Macaca fascicularis: one gene and its partners. The protein of the gene in region 3 binds, or shares a complex with, the protein of the main gene of each other region. Links are inferred from orthologs where the notes say so. Each region holds a gene or a part of one and is shown on either strand. Other genes may lie near its edges. The genes, in order: DRC9, DRC10, FBXL13, DRC12 and DRC7.

Region 1 (3,511 bases), on a different chromosome or scaffold from region 3:
GAAATGTACAAGAGCTAAACATGTATAAAGACTTTGCTCACTACTAAATTAATTTTCTAATAACTCAGTGCTGCTTCACAGAGCAGTCCAAAACACGATTGAAAATGTAAGGGCTTGGCTAACCAGGTGAAACCCCGTCTCTGCTAAAAATACAAAACACTAGCCGGGCGCGGTGGCGGCGCCTGTGGTCCCAGCACTTTGGGAGGCCGAGACGGGCGGATCACGAGGTCAGGAGATCGAGACCATCCTGGCTAACACGGTGAAACCCCGTCTCTACTAAAAAATACAAAAAACTAGCCGGGCGAGGTGGCGGCGCCTGTGGTCCCAGCTACTCGGGAGGCTGAGGCCGGAGAATGGCGTGAACCCGGGAGGCGGAGCTTGCAGTGAGCTGAGATCCGGCCACTGCACTCCAGCCTGGGCCATAGAGCGAGACTCCGTCTCAAAAAAAAAAAAAAAAAAAAAAAAAGAAAATGTAATGGCTGACACAGTAATGCGGCTGGATATTCAGGAAGGCAAGTTACAACGTATTCACCAATGACAAGTCATTTTAGATTAAAGCGAAGTGAAGGCCGGAGCTGAACTTCCTCCCCCTAGTGTTCAGTTAGGGTTCAGCAGCTGAGAAACACAAGCTGCGCGGACGGCTTAGTCATTCCCTCTCTTCGGTATTGTACTTATACTGATTTCCGTACAGGCCTTTTTGGATAATGCCAACATAGTGGAAAAGGATATTCTGTCCGGTAATGTACCTTCAGTCATGACCATTTCACTCCATCAATTGAGAGTACATATCTCAGATAGGTAGTGTAGCCCTTTATCTGAAATAAAGGTGCTATTTCCCAAGTGATATTTAATGGCACCAGCCTGGACAACACAGTGAGATCCCATCTCTACAGAACTTTTATAAAAAATTAGCCAGGTGTGGTAGTGCAGACCTGTAGTCCCAGCTACCCAGGAGACTGAGGTGGGAGGATCACTTGAGCCTGGGAGGTAAAGGTCGCAGTCAGCCGTGACAGCACCCCTACACTCCAGGCTAGGCCACAGAGCGAGACCCTGTCAGAAAAAAAAAAAAAAAAAAAAGAAGAAGGAAAGAGAGAGAGAAAGATAAATCAATACATTTAATGAGATAGGTACTATAAATGAGGGAGAAATAAAAAATAAAGCAAAAGTAACTCATAGTCTCATCGTGAGCGGGTAAATACCATGCAGACGCTCTGTCTTCCTTCGTACTGAATGGGCATGATGTAGTTTAGAATAGAGAGCTGGTCTGTGGTGTCCTCCAGAACTGCCGAGATCCTCAGCACATCTGGAAGCGAGAGTGGCTCTCGGGTTTCTAGGATTTCTGGGATGGTTTCTACGTCTGTTTCTTTAGGTAGTCCGTCTTCTTCTACGGTACTAGGTGGTTTGCCTGTCACTGACACTGTCATCTCAGAATGCCAAACTTTTGGAGGAAGGTTTGAGTCTTCCAGGCTGTCTCTAAGGAAAGAATAAAGAAAAAATAAGTCAGCGACCAATATTTAAACATTACTTTAACTCAAAAGTACAGGCAGCAATGTGCTGGGCTCCTGTGATATTCTTGTTGTCATATAATATAACCTAGATTAAAAAAAAAAAAAGTAGGAGTTTGAGTGTGATTCTGCTAAATATCTTCCATTTTGACCAACCAAAGGCAAACAACTTACTTTTTTTTTTTTTCCTTTTTTTGAGACGGAGTTTCGCTCTTGTTGCCCAGGCTGGAGTGCAATGGCGTGATCTCAGCTCACCGCAAGCTCTGCCTCCCAGGTTCAAGCGATTCTTCTGCCTCAGCCTCCTGAGTAGCTGGGACTACAGGCGCCCGCCACCACACCCGGCTAACTTTGTGTTTTTAGTAGAGACGGGCTTTCTCCATGTTGGTCAGGTTGGTCTTGAAGTCCCAACCTCAGGTGATCCACCCAGCTCAGCCTCCCAAAGTGCTGGGATTACAGGTGTGAGCCACCACACCTGACCTACTGTTTAATAAAGCTATGTAGCTCATGCAATTTGGCTATGCTGATCAATTTGAATTTGAGCCAAAATTAACTTTTTTTCCCTAGGAGTATCTTTAGATGCTAACCAAAAGTGTCTCCTGATGAGTGAAAAACAGAATGTGGTATCCAGCCTCCAAGGTGGCCCAAATGATTCTCACTTTCTAGTATTAATGCTTCTGTGTAGTCTACGCCACACTGAGTAGGACCAGCCTATGTAACCGGAAGGTTATTGTGGCAATGACGGAGTGGGACTTCCACGGCTAAGTGATAAAAGACATCGCAGCTTCTGCCTTCCTCTCTCAAACCTCTCAGTGTGAGGGATGACAGCTGCTTCGACATGAGGACATTTCAGCAGCACTGTGGACACACCCATGAGGGAAAGGAACAAAGGCCTCTTGCCGGCAGCCTGCACCAACTTGCCAGCTCTGTCAATGAACCACCTTGGCAGTGGATACTCCAGCCCCCATCAGGTCTTCAGATCATTGCCATCATTGCCACCCGTGGCCAACTTCACGTGCAGGAGAGACCCCAAGCCAGCACCATCCAGCTAACCTGCTCCTAACCTTGGGACCTGCAGAAACTGTGGGAAAGAATAAATGTTTGTATTTTAAGTCACTAAGTTCTGGGGTGATCTGTCACACAGCAGTAGATAAGGTATACACAGACCTTTCACAGAAGGCATAATTTAAATACATGTATACAAAAAACATAGGAATTGTAAACATACTCTTCCATTCTCCCGTAGTTCCGTTACCCTCCGTGGAATATTTATAATCTCACAGAAGTGCGGCTACCTAAAATGGGAAGGAAACACTGAGATTAGTTTATGCAAGTCTTCAATGATGTTTCAGTTATTTCAATATCATTTTATTCAGAGAAAATTAAATGATTACGGGAGCTGTGACTGTCACCTCTTTGTGCAGAGTGGAGCAGTCTCAGAGGCGAAAGAAACATCGACATCACGGACCGCAGGTCTATGAAGAAGTTGACCGAATTCTTACTGCTCTACCAAACTCAAGACACATGCACTCTGTGGGCCTCTTCTTAAGGTAAATTAATGTTCAACCTGGTTTTAGAGTGTTCCATGGTATCACAATTTTAATTGGTAATCTCTATATACTTGATTTTTTCTATGATTCTAATTACTCTAACATTTAATTAGATCACTCAATCCATCTTATCCGCCAGATAACGGAATTTGCTCCACGTGTGCTTAGAGGAATAATTGAGATGACATTTAGAAAAACTGTATTAATTGGGGCCGGGTGCGGTGGCTCACGCCTGGAATCCCAGCACTTTGGGAGGCCGAGGCGGGTGGATCACAAGGTCAGGAGATCGAGACCATCCTGGCCAACATGGTGAAACCCCGTCTCTACTAAAAAATGCAAAAAATTAGCCAGGCATGGTGGCGGGCGCCTGTAGTCCCAGCTACTCGGGAGGCTGAAGCAGGAGAATGGCGTGAACCCGGGAGGTGGAGCTTGCAGTGAGCCGAGATTGCACCACTGCAC
Region 2 (4,053 bases), on a different chromosome or scaffold from region 3:
TAGCAGCACATGATGGCGGGCACCTGTAATCCCAGCTACCTGGTAGGCTGAGGCAGGAGAATTGCTTGGACCCAAGAGGCGTAGGTTGCAGTGAGCTGAGATTGCACCACTGCATTCCAGCCTGGGCAACAGAGAGGGGCTCTGTCTCAAAAACAAAACAAACAAAAAACAGCCTATCTCAAACCCCTCCTGCTCTCAGGCACTAATGTATAATGTTACTTTATGTCAGAAACCAACCCCCCATGAACAATTTCTCCCTGGATTAACAATTTCTCATTCTTTAGGTCTTAGCTCAATGGCTACCCCTTCTCAGACAGGAACACACAGCACTTTACAACCTGTGGAAATTCTCTCACCTTTCCTGCATGGTACTAACCACGCGTGTAATTTTTTTTTTTACAGCTCTATTGAGGTGTAATTTACATTACCATAAAATTCACCCATTGTAAGTATAAAACTCAATGACTATTTTTGTAAATGTATCTAAAGTTGCCACATCAGTTTTAGATACAATCCTGTTTTAGAACATTTCTATCACTCCACCAAATTCCCATGAGCTAATCTGCAAACGATCTCTGTTTCCACTCACATTTTTTTGTTGTAGTTGTTTTGTTTTTGAGACTGAGTCTCGCTCTGTTGCCCAGGCTGGAGTACAGTGGCGTGATCTCAGCTCACTGCAACCTCCACCTTCCAGATTCAAGCAATTCTCGTGCCACTGCACTCCAACCTGGGCAACAACACAAAACTCCATCTCAAAAAAAAAAGAAAAGAAAAATCGTAAAGCTCAGATCAAAATAATGAAATACTCATTTGCTTTTTTTTTTTTTTTTGAGACAGAGTCTCACTCTATTGCCCAGGCTGGAATGCAGTGGCATGATCTCGGCTCACTGCAACCTCCGCCTCCTAGGTTCAAGTGATTCTCCTGCCTCAGCCTCCCAAGTAGCTGGGAATACAGGGGCCCGCCAGCATGCCCTGCTAATTTTTGTATTTTTAGTAGAGACGGGGTTTTGCTATGTTGGCCAGGCTGGTCTCGAACTCCTGACCTCAGGTGATCCACCTGCCTGTGCCTCCCACAGTGCTGGGATTACAGGCATGAGCCACTGTGCCTGGCCTATGTTTAACTTTTTAAGAAACTGCCAACTATATTTCAGATTGGTGGTACCAATTGGTATTCTGCTGTACCTACCAGCAATATATGAAAGCTAGTTTGTTTATCTACATGATGATATTTGGGATTGTCTTTTTGATTTTTAAATGTCTACTTAACTCTTTTGCCCATTAAAAAAATGGAGTTGTCCTCTTGAGTTATAAGAGTTATTTTTATTTTCTACATACAAGTCTATTATAAGACACATGAGATTTGCAAATATTTCCTCCATGTCTGTGTCTGTGGCTGATCTTTTCATTTTCTTACGAAAATATCTTTTGAACCTCAAAGTTTTTCTTTTTTATATATTTTTTTGAGACAGGGTTTTTCACTCTGTGGCCCAGGCTGGAGTGCAGCAGTGCAATCATGGCTCACTACAACCTCCGCCTCTTGGGTTCAAGCGATTCTTCCACCTCAGCCTTATTTATTTATTTATTTATTTATTTATTTATTTATTGAGATGGAGCCTCGCTCTATCACCCCCGCGGGAGTGCAGTGGCACCATCTCGGCTCACTGCAACCTCCACCACCCGGGTTCAAGAAATTCTCCTGCCTCAGCCTCCCGAGTAGATGGGATCACAGGCATGCACCACCATGCCCAGCTAATTTTTGTATTTTTAGTAGAGACAGGGCTTCACCATGTTGGCCAGGCTGGTCTCAAACTCCTGGCCTCAGGTGATCCGCCGCTCGGCCTCCCAAATTGTTGGGATTGCAGATTGAGCCACTGTGCCCACCCCTCAGCCTCATTTAATCATCACAAGAAACTCTCTATCTTTAGTAGGTACAAAGAGATTACATTTTAAGGACGGAGATGGGAAATAAATTCCAAAGTTAGGACAAAGGCAAAAGTGGTATAATAAAAATTACCTAATTTATTTATTTATTTGGGACAGAGTCCTGCTCTGTTGCGGAGGATGGAGTGCAATGGCGCGATCTTGGTTTACTGCAACCTCGGTCTCCCGGGTTCAAGTGATTCTCGTGCCTTAGCCTCCCGAGTAGCTGGGATTACAGGTGCACCACCATGCCCAGCTAATTTTTGTATTTTCAGTAGAGATGAGGTTTCACTATATTGGCCAGGCTGGTCTAGAACTCCTGACCTTTAGTGATCTGCCCGCCTTGGCCTCCCAAAGTACTGGGATTACAGGCGTGAGTCACCGCGCTAGGCAAAAACAACAACAACAACAACAACAACAAAAACAAACAAAAACTACCTAATTTAAACACTTAAGTGAGATGGCCCGCTCACCGAGGAACGTATGGTCGTTGGGTGGAATGGGAGGGGACTTATAAACCCCCCTCCCACCCACAGCTCCCATGTTTGACTTGAAATAAGTTAACTACGATGTGACTCTGCTTGACTGGTGTCCTTGTCGTTTTAGGGATGAGGGAGTGGGGCCATGAAGTGGGCAGGTAGAAGGGGAAGAATGGAGGCCGGCTCCCTGCAGGCTGTGGAGCGAGAGGTCCAGACTGAGGCAGGGGCTGAGGGACGGGGTCCTGAAGCTGAGACGGGATCGCAGCGGGGGCTACCAATTTCTCAGGGAGCCAAAGGACATCGGGCTGAACCCCATTCCACATCTCCCCCGATCCGCGACCCTTTCCCACCTGGTTACTCACCCGCTCTGACGGCTCCAGGTTTCCCTAGCCACAGTTACCGCCGCGGTCCCAGCGTTGCGAGGTTACCCGCCAATCTCAGAAGGCGGGACTCTGTGTCTGACTGACCTTTCTTTTCACCATTCAATTTCTTGTTCCGCTCAATTGTCCCCACCTCCTGAAGTCTGACCAATCAGAAGCACCGCCATTTTGACCTTGCACCAATGGAAAGACTTGGGACTCCCTCTGGGTTGGACTCAACGATTAAGGCGGGGAAGATGGGAGGAGAAAGGGGCGTGGATTCTTCGTCCCGCCCCTTCTTAAGGAGGCGGGCAGGGAGTACTGCCTCGGCTGCGGGCGAGACCTGCGGAAAGACGTGAGAATTGACCAATCAGAGCTCATCATGGTAGCCCAGTTAGCCAGTAGGACGCTGTGAAGGGGAAATGGGGCGGGGCGAGCGGGGTTGAGAGGACGGTAGGCGGCGGATGGGAGAGCTGGCGCAGCTACCCTGGTGGCGGTGGCTGAAGTGGCGGCGGCTGCGGCGGCTGCAACAGCTTCGGGCTCGGGGTTTTGGCGGCGGCGCCGGCGGGCTGGGCTGCGTGGTACGGACCCCGGCGCGCGGTCCGGGTTGCTGGGGCGGCGCGTGTAAGAATCCGAGGGATGCGAGGACTTGGCCAGAGGGAGAGGGCAGGGATCAGGGTCAGAGGGCGCGGAGTAAGGGGTTGCGGCGCGACACTCTGGTGTGGGAGGTGGGCTGAATGGGCCCAGAGAGGGCGCGGGGAAGTCTCCGCCGCGCTTCTCTCCGTCCAGCCCGGGCCGGGGCTTTGCACCCTCTCTCCTTGCCCCCGACTTCTTGGGGCGACCCTCACGTGGGCGCCCAGCCAGGGGCTGGGAGCACGCGGAGCTGGAGCCAGCGCTCCTGCCTCCTTCTTGCTCCCTCCCTCGCTCTTCTCCCTGGCGCCCTCAGGTGACCCCGCAGGAGTCTCGTGCCCGGGTCAGGCTGCCCGAGCGGACAGCGGCATGGCAGCTGGCCCTCTTCCCCTAGGCCCTTTCCCCAGGGCTGGCCATTTGGGTCCTCTGTAGAGGCAGAAGCAAAGCCCGCGGAGGGAACACTGGACCAGGACTCAGGAGTCCCGGGTTCTAGCCCCGCTCCTGCACTGTGTGACCTTGGGCAAGTCTCTTCCCCTCTCTGGACCTCATTTTTGTCTCGCTGGACAAATGACGTGTTTGAATTCAAATCAGGGTACTGGTTCTAGTCGTAGGTGTATATAGGGTCATGGTTAAGCAGGAAGGTTCCCTGATTCAGACTACCTGGG
Region 3 (4,213 bases):
TGAAACCCTATCTCGACCAAAAACACAAAAATTAGCTGAGCATGATGACAGGTGCCTGTAGTCCCAGCTACTTGGAAGGCTGAAGCAGGAGAATCGCTTGAACCCAGGAGGTGGATGTTGCAGTGAGCCGAGATGGCGCCACTGCACTCTAGCCTGGACGACAGAGCAAGACTCCATCTCAAAAAAGAAAAAAAAAAAAAAGTATAAAACCCATCTGGGAAATTGAGTCAGATGAATAAATGTACAGACAGAATAGATATGAGGCAGAATGGAATTCATCTTGATAGTCTCTTAGGAGAAATAGGTAATGAGTTTAAGGTGGGTGTGTGGGGCCCAGAAGACTGCTCCCTTGTTCTTGCTGCTAGTGTGGTAGCAGAGGTGAGTGAAGGACTTCTCAGGAGAATATGATCTTAGACAATGGGGAATGCATATAAGGGCCTCCTCTCTGGGTGCAGAACAATGTGGCAAGCCAGGAGCGCTCTCACCCAGAGGGGGAACTGGGGACTGCCTCATTGCAGCTTTGTGATGTTATAGTAACTGGCAGGCTAGATGAGAAGAGGCCACCATTTCCTTGATGTACCCTCAACTCAAGTCTGTTTCTTCCACCTGCTGCACCGCCATATCACAGACTGAATCACCACTCAGAATGGCCGCACCCTGAATTGTAAATATAAACATTCCACTTTCTGACCCCCACCTCCTATGTTTCCAGCTCCCTCATTTAATTACTCCCTCTACTTCTCTTCACTCACCTCTTAGGAGTCTCCATTTTCTGTACATATATCAGTATCATATCCTTTTCTCATTTCCCACTGAGTCCTTAGAGTCCTTGGCCCATCACTTCAGATACTCAGGAGCTTAGCTCCCTAACCTACTGCCTTTCTATTCTATTAACATATGCCTGGCAAATTCCTATCCCAGACGAAGTCAACTTGGTTATCTCTGTACCTACATCTGGTTTACTGACTGCTACTTGACAAAAATCACACAACCGGGAAGATGGGTACCATTCTCCCTACATATTTTCAAGCACAATTGTATAGAGGTACAACATGAAACTCACTATAATAAATTAAAACAATACAGCTATGGGTAGAGCAAAAAGTTAGAATTCCCCGTTTCCTCCCCCAAAACCATTCCACAAGACATCTGTTATTAACAATTTGGCATAGGTTCTATGCATGCACTATTGTCTTAAAGATAGATACACACACATATATGTACACATAAACACATATACAACATACATGAAATCAGATAGCTAGAGCAGAATGGACAGTTGCTAAGCAACTTGCACTTTTTCTTTTTTACTTAATAATATGTGTTGGGAGCCAGCCATATGGTGTATGCCTGTAGTCCTAGCTACTTGGGAGGCTGAGGTGGGAGGATGGCTTGAGCCCAGGAGTTTGAGGCTGCAGCGAGCTAGGATGGAGCCACTACACTCTAGCCTGGGTGGCAGACCAACACCCCGTGTCTCGATAATAATAATATGTCTTGGAGGGCATTTCTTCTTAGTAGGTACAGATATACTTTATTCTACATAATACCTCATTCGCTTAGTCACTCTAGGTCATTTACTACTTCTACTATGAAACAAAGTTATAATGAACATCCTTGTACATCCTTCTGAACACATGTGCAAGTATTTCTCTAAAGTAGATCCCTAGAAGTGGAAATGCTTGGTTAAAGGGTACATGTATTTAACATTTTAATAAATATTTCTCAATTGCCATCCAAAAAGGAGACGGGGGTCTCTACCAAATTGCCCTCCCAACCGCCTAGGATCGTTACTACCCTCAGCTGGGACCTCCTTTTTCCTTCCCTAGACATCTCTCTTCCTCATTCCCCGCATAGCGTATCTTTGCTCGAACCTCCTACTGCACCAACAGCCCCATCCCCACTCAAACACGCACATTCTTGGAAAATATCTCATCAACTATTTGTAGAGAAAAAAAGAGGTCAACAAAGGCAAACGTTCTCAGCTTCCAACCCCCAAAAACCTACAAAACCTAGTATCTATCCCTTCCTGTCTTCCTTCCCTCCTATTACAATGGGGGTGGAAGGGTAGCCCTTCCTGTTGTCTAAAGGCAATCCCGGTTGAGAGGGTCCTTACCTTCACAAAGGGCTGACTACACTGACCAAAGGTATCAGCTTCCACTCTCCCCTCAGCTAACCTCCATCTATTTTCTGCACTCACGGCTCCATGGAAACCTCAGGCTCACCTTGGGCAGAATCCAGGTCCTTATCTTAGGTGACTAGAGCCTACTCCCTACTTCTGACAACACTCTTCATAATGACAGTCTGCTGATTTTCCTCCTCAGCCTCTCTGGCATTTCTTTCTCACTCCTCCACTCCTCAGGCACTTCTTGTTCAAACCTTAAAAGCTGAGTTTGGGGTTTCCGATCTGGGCCTTGTGCTCATTTCCCCTGGGAGATGTGACCCATTCCCCACTTGCAGCTACCATCACCCTCTGTCTTCTCTCTGATCAGCATCTTCAGCCCAGATCGCCTACAAGTCCGAGTTTGACTTCACTTTCTCGCATTCCGCCCCGCCTTCTCCCTCCTCCCTCAACTCCTAAACCTAGTCCCTCCTCCGAGACGTCTTCCCTGACTCCTCCCCCTTCTAATTCCCCACCGTCGGTCCGTGTCCGCCGCCACGCGTGTCCAGTACCTCGCAGACCTGAGGAATATAGTTCTCCTTGAAGTAGTTCTTCAGCCTCGGGTTGGCATTGCGTAGGGAGGCCATGGCCCAAGGCCTGACGGAGAAGCTGCGCTGGTACCCTCCCCGCGCTGGGACTAGGAGCCGGGTGCGTGCGGGCGTTGTCCTGGCAACCAGGGGGCGGGGCTGGACGCGGCACCGCCCCTCGCTCCGCTGCCCGGGGCAGGAGGGAGGGAGGCTTGCTTCATGCCACAGGAGAAGCGACGGGAAGCTCGGCTCCGGGTTCAGGGCCCCGGCGTCTCCGCGTGGGGCGCACCGTCCTAGCCTCCCCTCCTGGCGTCCAGCGCCCCGCCCCGCCTCGCCTGGGAGAAGCCGCCCGGAGGCGCCGGGCTGGAGTGGGCGGTTATAGGCTTTGAGCTGAGCCGTTTCCGGGAGGCGGAGCTCAGACCCCATTTCCTTTCTCCACATCCAGGTCGCGCGCGGTTTGTTGTGGCGGCTAGGCCCGCGTGATCTGGAGACCTCCGCGCTGGCCCCCAGGAGCCTCCTGCCCTGGCCCAGCGCGGCGGCTCTGCCGCGGCTGCAGAATGGGTGGCCCCCGGGGCGCGGGCTGGGTGGCGGCGGGCCTGCTCCTCGGCGCCGGCGCCTGCTACTGCATTTACAGACTGACCCGGGGTCGGCGGCGGGGCGACCGCGAGCTCGGGATGCGCCCTTCCAAGTCTGCAGGTGAGACCGCGGGGTGCCCGGCAGGTGGGCGGGGACTGGGCAGGGGGGCTTCCCGGGCTTGGGTGGTGGCTTGCGTGTCCTCGGGGTAAGATGAGGAGCCGAGCTAGAGGGAGAGGCAGTACTTGTGTGGGTGCATGGTGCTGCGCCGCCCCCGCCGCCCATTCTTTGTTCACTATCCTGATATGAAAACTTGTCCTGGCTTTCCTGCCTGAGCTTTGCGCCACAGTGGAGGATTAGGTTTCTTAAAAGCCTGTTGATGGCCTCTCACTTTAAAGCTTGTTCCGGGCCTTTGTGTAATTAAAGGGATTCTGCCGATTGTGGAAGGGCTGTTGAGGGGCCCGGAGCCATAAGTGAAGCTCTGCTTGCAAGTGTCCTGGAAGAAGGGACGTCAAAGGGGCAGTTGTGCGGGCGCTCGGCCCGGCCTCAGAGGGGAGGTACCTGGGAGTCACAGTGGTCCAAGACCTCCCAGCCTGGTGTGTGTTTTGGAAATGGGAACAGTTGTCTGCGCGAGACACACCCTCCCAGCGGACAAATGCCAGATTCGGTTTCTGTCCAAAAGTTGATCGGTACGGTAAAACCCTCCAGAGGCATGTTTCACATCATGGAAGCCGTTAGGGAAATAATTTAAAATAACATATCTGCCATCCAAGAAACTCCTGTCCACAATTGTAGAAGAGAACTAAACAGCGTCATTGTTGAGTAAGCACAAACTAGATTGTCTCAAGCATCACGGGCAATTTGCTAATGGGATAGCAAGAAGAATTCTAATTCCTTTAAGTGTAGCTGGACAGATAGAACCGATTTCGTATTACGTACGTGTTCTCAAGATAAA
Region 4 (4,235 bases), on a different chromosome or scaffold from region 3:
TTTTTTTTTTTTTGAGACGGGGTCTCGCTCTGTCGCCCAGGCTGGAGTGCAGTGGTGCGATCTTGGCTCACTGCAAGCTCCGCCTCCCGGGTTCACCCCCTTCTCCTGCCTCAGTCTCCCGAGTAGCTGGGACTACAGGCACCTGCCACCACACCCGGCTAATTTTTTGCATTTTTAGTAGAGACGGAGTTTCACCATGTTAGCCAGGATGGTCTCGATCTCCTGACCTCGTGATCCGCCCGCCTCGGCCTCCCAAAGTGCTGGGATTACAGGTGTGAGCCACCACTCCCGGCCCATGGTCTTCTTGGTTCTTTTTGTGATTCTGAGAAGCTAGAGACCATGAAAACCTGAGGAAGGGAAAGGAAGCCCAACCCACCTCCCCCACCGTCCAGCTTTGGATGGGGATGCTAGTCCTTCTCCCCTCCCATAGGATGGTTGAGGTGATGGCTATGACTGCATGTGTATCCTACACAGCATCAAGCACATGGCACCAGGCATCCTGGCAGGCCCCTGCCTGGGATCCCAGGAACCTACCTGCCTTTGATTCCTGCAGGATCCTGCCTGATTTGTACTGTTCGGGGAAGACCAAGACCAGGCCTGGCAGTTGGAAGCCCTCCTTGTTTCCCTTCCTTGCATCATCTGACCCTGCTGGTTGTCTTCCTCCAGGCCCCTGTCTCCTGCCCACCTGCTCAACAGACCACACACCTGCATATATGGCCTTCCCTTCACTTCGGGCCCCTTCCAGCTCAGCCTCCACCCTTTGCAGCCTCTGCTTCAGCTGGTCTTCGGAAGCCTTGGCTCGACGGGCTTCATCCCTCCGTACAGCTGTGAGCAGTCCCAGAGCCACTGTCAGGACTGGCTGGGGCCCGCTAAATCAGCCCCCATGAACTTGATGAATTTTGCCCGTCTCTAGAAATCTGGTGGCGGGGCGTCCAGCCTCTTATTCTCTCTCTGGGTTTTGTTGTTTTTGTTTTTTATCCCTAGAGTCTCACAGGCTCCTCATTATTAAGAAGTAAAGACTCTCTCCATGTTCTGCCTATACAAAATAGCTTTCCGGATAGCCCGGCATGGTGGCTCATGCCTGTAATCCCAATATTTTGGGGGGCTTAGGTGGGAGAATTGCTTGAGGCCAGGAGTTTGAGACCTGCCTGGGCAACAGAGTGAGACCTTGTCTCTATAAGAAAAATAAATAGGGCCAGGCGCAGTGGCTCATGCCTGTAATCCCAGCACTTTGGGAGGCCAAGGTGGGAGGATCATGAGGTCAAGAGTTCGAGACCAGCTTGGCCAACATGGTGAAAACCTGTCTCTAATAAGAATACAAAAATTAGCCGGGTGTGGTGGCTGTGTGCCTGTAATCCCAGCTACTTGGGAGGCCGAGGCAGGGGAATCACTTGAGCCTGGGAGGCAGAGGTTGCAGTGAGCCAAGATCGCGCCACTGCACTCCAGCCTGGGCAACAGAGCACAGGACTCTGTCTTAAAAAAAAAGATAGTAAAATAAAATAAAATGAAATAATAAAATAAAATAAATTTTAAAAAAGAAAAATAAATAAATAAATAAATAAAGTAGCTAGGTAGGGTGGTGTGCACCAGCTACTCGTGAAGCTGAGGTGGGAAGATTGTTGGGGTCCAGGAGTTTGAGATTACAGTGAGCTATGATCACACCACTGCAGTCCAGCCTGGGCAATAGAGCAAGATTCTGTCTAAAAAAAAAAAAAGCTTCCTTTATCAACTCTCACTGCCCACCCCTCTCTCATTGTCTTTTTCCACTAGGGGATGGTTAGGGTTCAACTTAGCCCCCCACTGTATCTCCAACTCTCCAATCCCCCAGGATACAGAAATGCCCCATTTCACTTGCCCTGTTGCCCACCCCCATGCCAACTTCTACCCTCCTTACCCAAGTGGTCTCGGAGCAGCTCCTTCTCCAGCACCACCAGCCTGTGCCTGGACTCAGCCTCCACATCTGCACCTGCTGTGGCAAGTGGCAGAGCCTCAGCTCTTCGTGATCTCAGCATTCCTCACTCTCCTTGCGTCCTCGCCCCACACCCTGCACTTTTGCCACAGGAGACCTGAGGACCACTAAATGAGGGATCCATGGTGGCAGAGTCTACTGAAGTCAGCACTGTGTCCTTACCAACCAGCACATAACAGATATGCAAAATACACATGACAAATATATTAGGAAGGCACAAAGCTAGATGGTGCTTAAAGGACAGCGTGAGTGACCATTTCCCCACTTCCTCAGCTCCCTGCATCTGACTTCAAGGACACGAAAGAGGAAGGTCAAGAGAGTTCCATCCTGTCATGTAGAAGGCTGAATTCTCTCTGGAGGAGCTCTGCGTGGTCTTCATGCCAGAACATGGAGAAGCAGGGGGCACCTCCACCCACCATGACTCACCCCAGTTCTTTTTCTTCTGCGCCCCAGATTTCTTCCCTTTTTCTTTGTTTTTAAGTGGCATCTCCTTGCTGTCCTGGGAGAAGGAGGGGACCTTATGTTTAGGTCTGGACACAGGGATGCTTTCCTGACTGAATCAGGAGTCTCAGGGGAGTCTCCTGGTTCTACTCCAAATTTGCATCTCATACTCTTCAGAAAAGTCAGTTCACAGTCTCTTTGGAACCTCAGGCAGGGTTGGGGTCAACGGGGAGGGTGAAGTTTTTTCTCTCAACCAGGCTGACTGTACGGAAGTCACTCCTCACAACTCTCTTTTAGATAAATCCCTGTACCTGCTCCCCTCCCTCTTCCCATCATCCTCAACCCCCTCTTCCTACCTGTAGGATCCTCTCCTGCCAGTGTTGGGGCTCCCTGTGGAGTGACCCACCCGTGGGGAGTGGCAGAGAGAAGGCCCAACTAGCGAGGAGCCTGAGGCGGGGCCTGGGTCCTGGGAGCCAATCCTTGGTGGCAAATTTCTCTTGAGGGCAGGACTGAGGGCTGGAAGGTTGGGTTTCGGGAGGCTGTATGTTGTCCAGGCAACTGGGAAACATGGAGTTGGTAGGAAGGTGGAATGGGCTAAATCAGCTCACAAAGCTTAAAATATCAAGGTCTCAAAGGGTCAGTTCTTTCCTTATCCCAAAACCCTAAGTATAGTTTGAAAAGAAAGGGCTTTGGAGGCCGATTGGTTATGATTCATTGCCACGTAGACATGGCCTGCAATTTGGAGACTTCCAAATTCAGATGTACACATCTGAGATAATATGTTGTGCTGATACAGAGGAAAAGGACTGACAGTAGCCATGTTGGACAATTGACATCCCGAGGTCCCATCAGCAAAATGACATTAGTAGGTTTAAAACTGAAGATCTAAGCTGGGGGCGGTGGCTCATGCCTATAATCCCAACATTTTCAGAAGCTGAGGCAGGAGGATTACTTGAGGCCAGGAGTTCAAGACCAGCCTGGACAACACAGTGAGACCTCATTTCTACAAAAAATTAAAAAATTAGCCTGGCAGGGTGGTGCACACCTGTTAGTCTCAGCTACTCGGGAGGCTGAAGCAGGAGAACCACTTGAGCCTGGGAGGTTGAGGCAGCAGTGAGCTATGATTGCACCACTGCACTCCAGCCTGGATGACAGAGGGAGACCCTGTCTCAAACAAACAAACAAACAAACAAACAAAAACCCCAAACCACTGAAGATCCTCTTCAGTACACTGTGGAATGAGGGTAATAAGTACAGGAATAGGTAGTCGAGGGCGTTTCCCACTTCAGAGAAATGAGACACAAAGGAACAGCAGACCCATGGACTCTAGGGTACTGACCTAGAGGGATGCAAGTGTGCAGGAAAGTGCTCAGGTTAGAGACAAGACATTTGAGTTTGAGTCCCAACTGTGGATATGTAAACTGAGGCAAGCCATTTGACTTTGCTCAGCATCAGTTTCCTGATCTTTAAATGTTTGATTTTGTAGCTCTTGAAAAGCCTGTGTTTTAGCTAGGTGTTTACATGGCTATCTTCTCTCCTAGTTACTTAATCTATTGCTACATTTCCCCATTCCCTTGTGTGGTTGATTTTCAGACAGGTGTTGAGACATTGCTTTGTGAGGCTCCCTGCAGCATAGAGTTGGTTGGGGCTCCCTCTAGTGGACTTGTTTGACCTTCTCCTGAGTTTCCCACATTTTTGCTTTTAAATTATTTACTGGGCAATACTGGGGGTGACTCCCTTTGGGGATACTTCTTAGTGTCCTGCTGGAGCCAGGAGTGGCTGGAATAATTAATGTGGGGGAGAGAGTATGACAGGTGGCCCTCCC
Region 5 (4,000 bases), on a different chromosome or scaffold from region 3:
TCCCTGCAGCAATCAGCAGCTGCCTCTTTAGGCGAGGCATGGGGTCTCCAGGCCACCACCACCCTCCAGGGTACTCTGCACTGAGCCTGCTGAGGCCTGCTGGCATTGGAGTTTATGTTTCCCCCAGACTAGAAGCACTCCAGTCCACAGGAGGTCTGTGATTTGGCCCATTGCCCTTGGAGAACCCACCCCACTTCCCTGTGCCCTCTGCTCTCCAGCCCCAGGCTCCCTGGCCCTGCCCTCAACATGCCAGCCTTACAGGCACTTCGCACTCGTTCAGGGGGTGCAGGAAGAGGGGCACGCGATCCGGGCACAGATGGCTGTACTGGCGGGAAAAGTTGTCTGCCACCTGCAGCAGGTGCTCCTCCTTGGGTGTGTTGGTTTTGTAGGAAACAGGCAGCTTGGAGATGTCAATAGTGTCCTTGGTAAAGGCCCTGTGCCACAAGAGGGACGGCATTAGGGAAGCCATGCCTGGTACTCAGGAGCCCTGGTTCCACTGAGTTGCCATTGGCTCTATCCCTTCCTCATTTAATCCTCACAGCTACTGAGAAAGCAGGTATCATTAACATCTGCTTATTTATTTATTATTTATTTATTTATTTATATTTAAGAGACAGGTCTTGCTCTGTTGCCCAGGCTGGAGTGCGGTAGCACAGTCATAGCTCACTGCAGCCTTGAACTCCTGGGCTTAAGTGACCCTCCCACCTCAGCCTCCCAAGTAGCTGGGACTAGAGGCACCACCACACCTGGCTAATTTTTGTATTTTTTGTCGAGATAGATGGGGGTCTCGCTATGTTGCCCGGGCTCGTCTCGAACTCCTGGTCTCAAGCGATCCTCCCACCTCTTCCTTCTAAAGTGCTGGGACTACAGATGTGAGCCACAGCGCCCGGCCAGCACCTGCACTTTTAGACAGATAAAGGCACTGAGGCACCGAGAGGCTGAGTGACTTGCCCAAGGTCACACAGCTAGTCGGGGGAGCGTGGACACTCGGCCCAGGCCATTTGAAAGCAGAAAGCCTTCACTCTTAACTGGTCACCCTGCCAGACCAGTCGCCACCACTCTGCCTGGGTCTCCCTGTGCCCAGCCCCGGTCTGCCCTTGCCCAGAGCCCCCACACTGCCACACTCACGGGAGCTCCGCTGAGATGGGGATCTGGATCTCCGACAGCTTCTTCTCCAGGTCTCTGAGCATCTCCTGTGTCAAGGTGGTTTCCTCCTTCCGCACCTCAACTGGCCTCATCATTTTCTCGGTCCTCGCCCATTCAGCCCGCTTGGCCGCCTCCTCCCGCTCTGCCTCCTCCTCCTCCTCCACCTTCTCCCTCAGGACCTCCATTCTGGAGCGTCTCTGGCTGTCTGGAGACAGAATGTCTCTGTGGGGAAGGGGAAGTATACGCCATGGCTGACTGTCAGACCAGGCAGGAGCCACCAACACCACTGGGGCATCCCTGGGAGGCCTGGGAGATGGTTTTGGGGAGGTGTAGAGCACATAGGAAGGCAGTGATTCCCTCTTTGACTTCCTTTCAAACATGGAGAAGATCTCTGTTTGATGCTACCCCATCTGTAACACCTTTCTAATCCTGGCAAATATTCCTTTACAACAAAGACAAAGCAGGCCTCCGGCTGGAAGCCATCATCAGGACAGGACAGGGCAGGACACATGTCAATTTGCTTTAAGTATATTTGACAGTTATCCTTTTTTAAATTTTTTATGTTTTTGAGACAAGGTCTCACTCTGTCACCCAGGCTTGGAGTGCAGTAGCGCAAACATGGCTCACTGCAGCATCAAACCCCCAGGCTCAAGCAATCCTCCCACCTCAGCCTCCCCAGTAGCTGAGACCACAGGCACGCACCACCACACCTGGCTATTTTTTTTTTTTTTGGTAGAGACAGGGTCTGGCTATGTTGCCCAAGCTTAAACTCCTGGCCTCAAGTGATCTTCCTGCTTTGGCCTCCCAAAGTGCTGGGATTACCGGCATGAGCCATTGTGCCAGCTGACAGTTATCAATGACAAGTACTGCTAATGCTGTGGGGACTACTATAGTATTGTCACGTTTCCTATTTAAATAAATGAATTGGCTGTGTGCGGTGGCTCATGCCTGTAGTCCCAGCACTTTGGGAGGCTGAGGCAGGTGGATCACTTGAGGTCAGGAGTTCGAGACCAGCCTGGCCAATATGGCGAAACCCCGTCTCTACTAAAAATACAAAAAATTAGCCAGGCATGGTGGTGCACGCCTGTAATCCCAGCTATTCAGGAGTCTGAGGCAGCAGAATCACTTGAACCTGGGAGGCGGAGGTTGCAATAAGTCGAGATCACACCACTGCACTCTAGCCTGGGCAACAGAGTGAGACTCCATCTCAGATAAATAATAAATAAATAAATACATGAATAAATAAATTGGTTTAAAGAAAATCCTAACAGTAAGGTAATATGGACTACAACCCACCCAAAAATGAAGACAGCAGGTGAATGATATCTCACCTGACCAAATTGGGAACCAAGGCACAGAGAGTGAAGGTGCGTGCACCAGGGCACACAAACAGGAAGTGGGGGGTGGGGTAACAGAGCCTGCTCTCTCTTGGCCAAGGCCTGTGTCGGCCCAGAGAACAGGCTTCATTCTGTGATCCACGCAGAGACGCCACATGTGTTCACCATATGTCCTGCGACCACAGAGCAGAGCCTCACTGAGCGGGTACTGCTAGTCACCTACCCAAAGATCCAGTCTCCTCTTCTATACGGCAGAACCCCAGTTGTGTGGGGTCAGCAGTGTGCCTGGTTTGAATTGCTCAGCTTCCCAGATCCTCTTGTAGCTAGAGGTGGCCCTGTGATGTGACCTGGTTCTGGCCAATGAGATGTGGGCAGAAGTTATCGGGGCACCCTCTGCCCTTCTCCTCCTCCCACCTGGAATGTGGAGATAAAGTGGGAGGTGGGGCAGCCCAGGTGAGACCATGAGGTGACCACACATGAGGGCTAAAGTAGCCTGCTAAGGATGGCAGGGCCAAGAGACCGGGGACCTGTGGTGCCACAGAGGACTGGAGTGCCACCTCCAGCCTTTCCTTATATAAGAAATGTCAGCCTCTATGGGGGTCCCTGATCCACACCGCCCAACGCCACCCCAGCTGATCCAGCCTCCCAGCTGGGGTCTTTCTATTTCTCTCCTCCAACATCTGTTTTCCTTATAGTAAACAGGGGTCCAGAGAGGAGGAAAACAAAGGAAACCCACAGGACAAAGGGCGCGAGTAGTGAGGAGAAAAAAGCAGAATCCCCTCGACTTTGTAATCATCCCCCACTTCCCTGGGTGAAGCCAGGAACAAGAGGGCAGAAGGGAGCAGCAGATAAAGGCTGGCCCCATTCCCCACGCCACACCCACGCGGGCCGCCTCGGCCTCTTAGGGAGGTGAGTCACTGGCCACCAGCCAGGACTGAGCCCGGTTGGGGAAACCCTGGCTTTGCCAATAGCTCCTGCTGGACCCTTGGGTCACTGTCTGCGCCTTTCTGTGCCTCAGTTTCTCTTTACAATAGGAAGGGAGGGCAGATATTTTCTGTCCAATTCTGACATTCTGTGTTCTGGGACTCAGGAGGGGATGAATGCTCATCTGGCTGGAGCCCACCCAAGCCCAGGTGGGCCAACAGCATTCAGGACCCCAGATCCTCAGGGGAGAACCTCTAGCCAAGCAGCACTTCCCAGTCATCAGATCCATTTATCGGCCTCTTGGTCCCAGAGAGAATAAGCACAGGGAGGGCAGTCATCACCATTACAAGGCACTTACAGTTTGCTGAACGCCTACTGTGTGCCAGGCCCTGTGCTTAGGGTTGTACGGAGATCATCTCACTTATCCTCTACTGACTCTGTGAGGCAGACACTTAGGACACCCGCTTTGCAGATGAGAAGACTGGGGCCCAGAGAGGTTGAGTGCACTGCTTAAGGTCACAGCTAGTAAGTAGCAGGTCTGGGATTTGAGCCCAAGTATTTCTGGTTGTGAAACCTGTGCATCTCAGGCTAGA

The links.
Region 1: FBXL13 (region 3) and DRC9 share a complex: the UniProt entries of both Homo sapiens proteins name them as parts of the nexin-dynein regulatory complex. The link is inferred for Macaca fascicularis from reciprocal best matches to the Homo sapiens genes FBXL13 and DRC9.
Region 2: FBXL13 (region 3) and DRC10 share a complex: the UniProt entries of both Homo sapiens proteins name them as parts of the nexin-dynein regulatory complex. The link is inferred for Macaca fascicularis from reciprocal best matches to the Homo sapiens genes FBXL13 and DRC10.
Region 4: FBXL13 (region 3) and DRC12 share a complex: the UniProt entries of both Homo sapiens proteins name them as parts of the nexin-dynein regulatory complex. The link is inferred for Macaca fascicularis from reciprocal best matches to the Homo sapiens genes FBXL13 and DRC12.
Region 5: FBXL13 (region 3) and DRC7 share a complex: the UniProt entries of both Homo sapiens proteins name them as parts of the nexin-dynein regulatory complex. The link is inferred for Macaca fascicularis from reciprocal best matches to the Homo sapiens genes FBXL13 and DRC7.

The regions. Positions count from the first base shown.
Region 1 is NC_088376.1:895,444-898,954, reverse strand, and holds part of DRC9 (dynein regulatory complex protein 9), read right to left. Parts: intron 2,798-3,511; 5' UTR 2,739-2,797; coding exon 2,731-2,738; intron 2,584-2,730; exon of another isoform or gene 2,090-2,583; intron 1,474-2,089; coding exon 1,200-1,473; intron 1-1,199. UniProt on the Homo sapiens protein: Component of the nexin-dynein regulatory complex (N-DRC), a key regulator of ciliary/flagellar motility which maintains the alignment and integrity of the distal axoneme and regulates microtubule sliding in motile axonemes.
Region 2 is NC_088385.1:120,145,341-120,149,393, forward strand, and holds the start of DRC10 (dynein regulatory complex protein 10), read right to left. Parts: upstream 2,804-4,053; 5' UTR 2,762-2,803; intron 1-2,761. UniProt on the Homo sapiens protein: Component of the nexin-dynein regulatory complex (N-DRC), a key regulator of ciliary/flagellar motility which maintains the alignment and integrity of the distal axoneme and regulates microtubule sliding in motile axonemes.
Region 3 is NC_088377.1:144,707,241-144,711,453, forward strand, and holds the start of FBXL13 (F-box and leucine-rich repeat protein 13), read right to left. Parts: upstream 2,809-4,213; 5' UTR 2,746-2,808; coding exon 2,671-2,745; intron 2,557-2,670; exon of another isoform or gene 2,223-2,556; intron 1-2,222. Other genes in the region: ARMC10 (armadillo repeat-containing protein 10), read left to right, coding at 3,243-3,381. UniProt on the Homo sapiens protein: Substrate-recognition component of the SCF (SKP1-CUL1-F-box protein)-type E3 ubiquitin ligase complex.
Region 4 is NC_088388.1:118,066,429-118,070,663, forward strand, and holds the start of DRC12 (dynein regulatory complex protein 12), read right to left. Parts: upstream 2,810-4,235; 5' UTR 2,767-2,809; intron 2,469-2,766; 5' UTR 2,457-2,468; coding exon 2,396-2,456; intron 1,970-2,395; coding exon 1,895-1,969; intron 826-1,894; coding exon 706-825; intron 1-705. UniProt on the Homo sapiens protein: Component of the nexin-dynein regulatory complex (N-DRC), a key regulator of ciliary/flagellar motility which maintains the alignment and integrity of the distal axoneme and regulates microtubule sliding in motile axonemes.
Region 5 is NC_088394.1:53,801,420-53,805,419, reverse strand, and holds the start of DRC7 (dynein regulatory complex subunit 7), read right to left. Parts: upstream 2,801-4,000; 5' UTR 2,707-2,800; intron 1,369-2,706; 5' UTR 1,332-1,368; coding exon 1,129-1,331; intron 435-1,128; coding exon 260-434; intron 1-259. UniProt on the Homo sapiens protein: Component of the nexin-dynein regulatory complex (N-DRC) a key regulator of ciliary/flagellar motility which maintains the alignment and integrity of the distal axoneme and regulates microtubule sliding in motile axonemes.